2 linked regions of the Mus musculus genome follow. The main gene of each other region encodes a partner of the protein of the gene in region 2 in a complex. Links are inferred from orthologs where the notes say so. Each region holds a gene or a part of one and is shown on either strand. Other genes may lie near its edges.

Region 1 (3,745 bases), on a different chromosome or scaffold from region 2:
CATTATTCCCCCCAACCCCCGCTGCACAAAACAGGACTCATGTTGGGATCTGAGCAAGGGGTAAGTGTTGCTGAGGTGAAGCACGCTATTCTGAGTCCCTGAGCCAAGGCGCTGGCCAGCTGTGGGGGCAGCTAATGGGCTCGGTGCCTGGAGTCAGACCACACTCCTGTATGTGCAAGCTTATGTATTGTGAAGGAGCTGATGACTCTGCTCTGAGAGCACATGTGAGGGTCTTAGCTGGGGTCTTACAGGTGCACACCCCACCCACCTCATGTGTATTATGGGTTTGGAGTCTGTGTGCAGCATCTCAATATCTGTGTGGGCATGAGGGACCTGTGCCCATATGTTCATGGTTGCATATATGTGTGCGTGTTTATGACGCCATATGTTAAGGGATGCTGTGAGCTCCCAACACAGCATGTGTCTGTGTGCTGCAGAGGAAATGACTGGACAGGGGTCTGGAAAGAGAGGGGGTTGGGGATTCTCAGTGCAAACACAGAGGGAATCCTCAGTGAATGTCCAGGCAGACAGGGCAGACAGGCAGCTAGGCTGGGGAAGAGGAAATTCAAAGCTTTCTAGGGAGACACCTGTCATCAGTTGCCACCAGGAGTTGCCACAGGTCCTCCATCATTGCCTTTTCAGTGGAAAGCTGAAGTGGGGCTTGAGGGTTCTTGCCACCTGAAGGGAAGGTCATGGAAGGAAGATTGCTTTCTAAATTCAAGAGTTACCCCCTGGGTTCCTAACTCAAGTACTGTCCCCACAGGTGTCTGATTTGCAGGTGACAGAGCAAACACACACACACACACACACACACACACACACAGAGAGAGAGAGAGAGAGAGAGAGAGAGAGAGAGAGAGAGAGAGAGAGAGAGAGAGAGAACACAAAGAGGGGGTCAGGTAGCAAGAGCCTAAGGGGACCCACAGCTACTTCTCGTCCCACTTCCCCCACTTCCTGTCACTAGAAATGAGCTCTGGTCCTAGGGGATTCTGCAGGTCCCCAACACCTCCTACAGAGTTCAAAGGAGCCCTTCTTCTTGATGACAACTCTCTTTAGGTGGGGCAGACTTTACTCCACACCAGAAAGGTAGGCAGTGGTTAAATGATTTTCTCTAAAGTCAAATGAAATCTTAATGCCCTCCCTTTCTCTCTCTCTGTCTCTCTGTCTGTCTCTCTGTCTGTCTCTCTGTCTCTGTCTCTGTCTCTGTCTCTGTCTCTCTCTCTCTCTCTCTCTCTCTCTCTCTCTCTCTCTCACACACACACACACACACACACACACACTCACTCACTCACTCACACTCACATATTTATATTCATCCTGGGGGTCACCTGCTGCCTCCTACCCAAGCTGCACCCACCAGCCAGGTGCCTGATCACATCTGTCTGCCCAGAAGGACATCCCCGGTGTCCCGCACAGCCAGGAGTAGAGCCTTGTAGACAGCAGGGCCAGGTCCCCACCCCGCCCCTCTGCGGTCCCCAGGCGGCCTCCGCCGCCTCCCCCACCATCCCCCGCGCCTGGTTCTGAGCCCCGCTCTACTCCGCACCAGTCCCTGGCGCTGTTCATTCATGATTGGTACTCGGCCCCCTGAGATCCAGCCCGAGCGCGGGGCGGAGCGGCCGGGTGGCAGCAGGGGCGGGCGGGCGGAGCGCAGCTCCCGCACCGCACGCGGCGCGGGCTCGGCAGCCTCGGCCGTGCGGGCACGCCGGCCCCGTGTCCAACATCAGGCAGGCTTTGGGGCTCGGGGCTCGGGCCTCGGAGAAGCCAGTGGCCCGGCTGGGTGCCCGCACCGGGGGGCGCCTGTGAAGGCTCCCGCGAGCCTCTGGCCCTGGGAGTCAGTGCATGTGCCTGGCTGAAGAAGGCAGCAGCCACGAGCTCCAGGCGCCCCGGCCCCACGTTTTCTGAATACCAAGCTGCAGGCGAGCTGCTCGGGGCTTTTTTGCTTTCTCGCTTTTCCTCTCCTCCAATTCAAAGTGGGCAATCCACACCGATTTCTTTTCAGGGGAGGGAAGAGACAGGGCCTGGGGTCCCAAGACGCACACAAGTCTTCGCTGCCATGGGGGCCGTCATGGGCACTTTCTCCTCCCTGCAGACCAAACAAAGGCGACCCTCTAAAGGTAAGCACTCTGTCCTCTATTTACTCCCCTGGATAGGTTTGGGGGCACTGGGTGTTGTGTTGGGATGAAACGTCTGTCTCTCTTAGTTCCAAACCCACTGTCCGTGAGGGTTTTGGACAACCTCATGAATCCAAGGAATTAAGAGCCTCGTGGGAGGGTTGGTGTGAACACCCAGGGGTAGCAGCCGAAGTGGACGCTGGCCCCAGCAGGGGTGTGGGTACCCTTCTCTTCTAGGGAATGTATTGGAGCAAGACAGGCAGATTCACAGGTGGAGAAAACTGCGTTCTCTGGGGTGGGCGGAAATGTTGGGAGGCTCTTCCCACTCCCATGAGGGCTGATGTTGGTGCAACCTCGAACATCCAGCAAGGGTGCCTCCTTGGGAATGGCCATGCCTTGCCAGGTGCTGACTTGGGAATCTAATCATGAGGAAAACGGTGATTTACCGGTCCATCCTTAAAACCTCTGCAAGCCAAAAGGAATCAGCTACGTCCAGGTGGTAGAGCCCCCAGGCGGGTCCTGGGACACAAGCAGTCTGTAGGAAAAAACAAATAGCAGGGCTGTGCTGCTATGGTGGTCTGAGGACTTCAGAGGAATGGGGAGAACTGTCAAAAGGGGGGCTGGGGCGACAAGCTCACATATCCTGAGATGTCCCTGTCAGGAGCCTGCCTTTCTCCAGCTGTGGCATGCCCATCTTCAGTGGGACAGTTATTAGATGGCCACGTGGAGTCAAGTGACCTTGTTGGGCCAAAAGCACACAATGCAGGCCCCCTTTTCAACAGGCAGAAAGTTGCTTATAGAAACAAGAAGACTGGAAACAAATCAGAAAAAAAAAAAAAAGATAATGACAGGCTTGGTTTGCTTAATGCTCAAAAGCCATTGAAGATAGCAGAAGGGTTCTAAATAGTTTCACACTTAAATATCCAAGTTCTGATGTTTAATATATTCTGACTACAGGTGGGGGCACAACACACACCTTATCCTGGCTAGTGACCAGAGCTGTGTTAGGGTGATAGTGGGACCTGTTTCATCTCATCTTGGTTGGGATCATACACAGAGATACCCAGGAAGAGAGGGTCAGTCCTCAGAGACAAACTGACAAATAGGAAGACATCTTCAGGTGCAGATCCCAGGTGATAAGACCAGGCTTGCGTGACAGACCGGAAACGGAAGGGGCTTTAGCTTATCTGTTAGGTTCTTTGCCCTGCACGGAAGGCATTGGTACCTCTCAGTAGCCCCAGAGAAAGGCAGGTCTGCAAACCTTTTTCCCTGGGTTTTGGTACTCTGAGCTCTGCCTCTCTTGGATCCTGAGGTGCTGCTTAACACCAAGCAAGTTGGTTCTTGCTTCAACACCAAGTCCAAGTCAGCTCCCTACTCATCTTTCTTAACAACATGAGGTCCCACAGGCAGTGGAGGGCACTGTCCGGCACAGTTAACTTGGGTTTATTTAAAATTACCTACAATGTCCGTATCTCCTTGAGAGGTAGCGAGGCACCCAGAGGAGAGGTCTGTGTCTCTATAACCCAGCAGAGTGCAGGGGGAATCTCATCCCGATCACTTCAGTCGTGGGCCTTGAGCAAATACCACTCTCTATAAGTCTCAATTGTCATCCACATCCAATGGATGAGGATGCT
Region 2 (3,745 bases):
AAAAAAAGAGACAAGCCTGGACTTCCAAACATTATATTTTGTATAGTTGACCTGTTTCCAATCTGATATTCTAAGTATAACCCATTACTCATAATGAAAATCTATAATTTATATAATGATATAAAATTAGACAAGGCTCTTAGGTTGAAAGACATACCATCCACATCTATTAATTAGTCTATTAAGTCTATATTTGTCATTTTATGGTATCAGTAATTAATATTTGCCTATAACTCCCAAGTAATTTCAATCGTTTTTGTCATACCCATTTCACAGATCAAAATTATTTGTTTGTTTCCAAACTTTTAAAATAGTGCTTTCTTAAATCCATTCAGAGGAAAAAAAATGTAGTCACTCTAAAGCATCAGGAAGCCTTAAGAGATTCATAATCAACACAACCCATGTCCAATCACCATCCCGTTTTCTACAAAGGCACCTACCCCAGTGTTGTCATGGTGACGATGGTGTACCAGAAGGCTGCCGGGATGCTGGTGAACTTGCTTGCTGAAGAGCCCTTCTCTGCGTAGAACATAACGGTAGCGAAAATGATGATAGCCATTGTGAGAGAAAAGAGCAAGAAGCCCAGTTCTGATGCACAGCTCTTCAGGGTGTACCCCAGTATACGCAGCCCTTGAGAGTGGCGGGAAAACTTAAAGATCCTGAAGACTCGAAAGACTCGGAGTGTGACAAAGGCTCCACTGACATCCTCATTGTCTGTCATCACCAGCCCAATGTAATAGGGTAGGATGGCCACCACGTCGATGATACTCATGACACTGCGCACGAAACGGTAACGACTAGGTGCTGCGGCCAGGCGAAGCAAGTACTCAACTGTGAAGATCATGACACAGGCGGTATCCAAGCAGAAGAAGGCCACCGCATACCTCTCCCCACAAGGCAGTTCTTTTATGTGGCCTGGGCTAGACCCACATGGAACTGTTTCCACCACATTCGCGATGACTGAGACGGCAATGAAGAACCCAGTCACATAGTAGAACACCAGGGCCATGGTGCTGGTGTGGGGATTCTCAAAGGCCCGCCAGACCCTCTGCCTAGCAGTCATGGTGGGCAGCGCACTCTCTCCTGTATTGTCAGTGTCTGCATCATCCTGGAGGCGCTCAGCATTCTCCCGCCTGCGGTCCTTGTACTCCTCATAACAGCAGTCGCCAATAATTTCTGGGATGAGGCCAAAGAAGGCCAGTTCTTCATCATAAGCCGAGATGCACTCATGGCGGGGATAGTGAAGCTTCCCCGTGCGGTAGAAGTTGAGGATGTGGCGGAAGATGTCCGGGTCACGGTCAAAGAAGTATTGTTGGGTCTCTGGGTGGTAGAAAAAGTCTCTCTCAGAACTACCCAGCAGAGTGTCTGGGTATCGTTCCAGGGTGTCTTGCCATGTCTGGAAACGGGTGCCACTCACGTTCAGCACTATCAGAGCGTCCTGAGTCCTTTTTCTCTCCTGTCTTGGGGGCGCAGGCATAGGCCCCGAAGCAACAGGCATCCACCCAATGGCGGCTGCCCTGGCAAAGGGCAGCCATGCTGCAACACCGGCTGCCATGTTGTCTGGAAGTGGAGGTCACGAGAGTGAGCAGGGGGGTCACCCAAAATAACACAATGAAAGTAAGAAAGTGCCCCCCACTTCTTCACCTCAGGCAAAACACTGGGGGGACACTGCTCACAGGAACACGATTATTCCAAGGTGGCGCAGGTCAAGTCACAGTACTCAAGAAGGTCAGGTTTCCCTCACAGAAGTATTTGGAATACTAAGAAAAAAAAAATACAGTGACCTAAAAATCTCTCTCCATAAAGCCTAAACAAATCTCTGCCAACAGTTGGACCAGGGCAGGTCCTGGCACATGTAAACGTACAGGTGACTTCGGAGACAGCCTGGCTTCAAACAGGTGTCTTCGCTTCTCCCCTGATACAGTCTGGTAGATATGGGGTCGGTATATAGAGCAGGAGAGAGGAAACAGGGAAAGTCAACCAGTCAGTGGTAGTCTCTTAAAAGAAAGAACCCTTTCACCTTCCCCTTTTGCTGAAGTGGTCCTTCCCGCCAAAGGCGTCTCAAAAAGACGACCTGTTGTTGTAGCTCCGGAGATGCGGTCACAGCCGCTGTCCCGCGTCCCTTGGAGTCCGCTGGCCGCCTGTACTCACGCTGCGCTTGCAGAGATGGAGGTGAAGTGCAGGGCTCGCGGCGGGGGGCGTCGGTCTAGAGCTCTTTCTCCCCCCCACAACGACGACTGACACCCTCTGCGCTAGCCGAGAGCGTTTGCCCGATGGGCCCTTTCACTCTCTGTTCAAGTTCAGCTCAGGTGCAGTGTGACAGTTATAGAGCCTGGGAGCTGGCAGCCGCCGCCGCCGTGGCGGCAGCAGCATCTGCCTCCGCGCAGAACGCGCCTCGCCCGCGGTACATACCTGGCAAAGTGCGCACCGGGGCTGAGTTGCATAGAGACTTTGCTGTCGCCTTGTACCCGGAAAGGGAAAGGCAGAGCCAGCGGCTCCCGAGCAGCCAGATCCCAGGCTCCCGGGGAGCATAAATAAAGCTCTGGCGAGCTCTCCGTCCCCTTCCCCCACCCTCCGTGCCTCCCTCCTCCTTGTCACCTTCCCAAAAGCCAGGCGCAGGCGAGCAGAGCCAACAGCAACAAGTTCAAAAAGGTGCGGGGGAGGCGAGCCGCCCAGGCCACTCGCTCCTGCCAACTTACTGCGCGGCCGGCGTCCCCGGGGTCGGGGCGCTGCGGGGCTGCGGGGCGCCGGGACTGCGGGGTTGCGGGGCTGCGGGGCGGGCGGTGGCGGCGTGGGGCCGGGACCGAGGCGGGAGCGGGCTGGCGTCCGGGCGCGGAGGCAGGAGGCGCTCGGCGGCGCGGGGGCGCGAGAGGGCCGCTCGCTGCTTCCCCGCCAGTGGGTGGTCCCGCATCTCCCCCGAGCACCGCGCGCAGCTCTGCCGGTGCGATCGATAAATAAGCTGGGAAGAGAGCGAGAGCCGCACGCAAGCCCCGCCACGCAGGTTAGGCAAAGGCGTCTCCTGCCTTTCCCTCGCCTTGACCTTTCTCCGCCCCCGCCCCCTCGGGCTCCTCTCGCTCCACCCTAGCCACCCACCAGCCTCGACGCCAAATGTCACCAAGCGAGAGCATCCAGGTGGTTCTACCCCGGGGATGAGCGAGCCTTGGATGAACAAAGGGAAGCTTCAAGGCACTCGGCCGCGGCTGTTTGATGGAAGAGAGGAGGAAGGGGACCGGTGGCTTACTGCTGCCTCCGGAGCCCCGGTTCCAGATGAGCGTGGGAAAGGGGGGCAAGGAAAAAAAAAAGATTCGAGAAAAGCTGGAAAGGAGGGTGAACAGAGCGGAACGCGAAGGAATTGGTTGCCTTTGGGGGGCGACTGGGTCGCAGAACCTGCAAAGCTCCGCGACAGAATTTTTAAGTGACTCTCCCACGTTCCTTTATTTATTTTTTTAAATTATGTATGTTCAAAACAGATATTAATGTTACTAAGGCTAATATATTACCCGTCCAACTTGCTGGAAAAGTCACACAAATCTCCTCTGGTTAGGTCTTGCCACAACTCCTTTCCCCCTGTCCTTTGCAAATGACAGGAGAATTTAGACCCTTTTCTAAATGTCAGTGTGCAGGGGCGTGAGTCTCTTAGAGTGTGTGTCTCTTCATGCCCTTTGCGCATCCCTGCCCATATCTAAAATGACCGAAGAAAGAAAAGGTGCCCGGGTGAAGGGTGAGTGATGTGAGGAGAGACAGG

Evidence for each region. The genes of interacting proteins can lie anywhere in the genome.
Region 1: the proteins of Kcnd2 (region 2) and Kcnip1 are in contact, whole or in part, in a cryo-EM structure (PDB 7E8E), measured with the Homo sapiens proteins. The link is inferred for Mus musculus from reciprocal best matches to the Homo sapiens genes KCND2 and KCNIP1. Residues at the interface, in NP_036413.1 of Homo sapiens: Ala2, Val5, Ala7, Trp8, Pro10, Phe11, Ala12, Arg13, Ala14, Ala15, Ala16, Ile17, Gly18, Trp19, Met20, Pro21, Val22, Ala23, Ser24, Gly25, Met27, Ala29, Pro30, Gln33, Arg35, Lys36, Arg37, Thr38, Gln39, Asp40; in NP_001030009.1 of Homo sapiens: Thr60, Arg62, Glu63, Val66, Leu67, Arg69, Gly70, Phe71, Asn73, Glu74, Phe85, Ile88, Tyr89, Gln91, Phe92, Tyr101, Leu105, Phe109, Phe122, Leu126, Leu129, Leu130, Lys137, Thr141, Leu144, Tyr145, Val162, Ile165, His185, Phe189.

Annotation. Positions count from the first base shown.
Region 1 is NC_000077.6:33,841,499-33,845,243, reverse strand, and holds the start of Kcnip1 (Kv channel-interacting protein 1), read left to right. Parts: upstream 1-1,557; 5' UTR 1,558-2,053; coding exon 2,054-2,114; intron 2,115-3,745. UniProt on the Homo sapiens protein: Regulatory subunit of Kv4/D (Shal)-type voltage-gated rapidly inactivating A-type potassium channels. Regulates channel density, inactivation kinetics and rate of recovery from inactivation in a calcium-dependent and isoform-specific manner.
Region 2 is NC_000072.6:21,214,109-21,217,853, reverse strand, and holds the start of Kcnd2 (potassium voltage-gated channel subfamily D member 2 precursor), read right to left. Parts: upstream 2,509-3,745; 5' UTR 1,556-2,508; coding exon 441-1,555; intron 1-440. UniProt on the Homo sapiens protein: Voltage-gated potassium channel that mediates transmembrane potassium transport in excitable membranes, primarily in the brain. Mediates the major part of the dendritic A-type current I(SA) in brain neurons.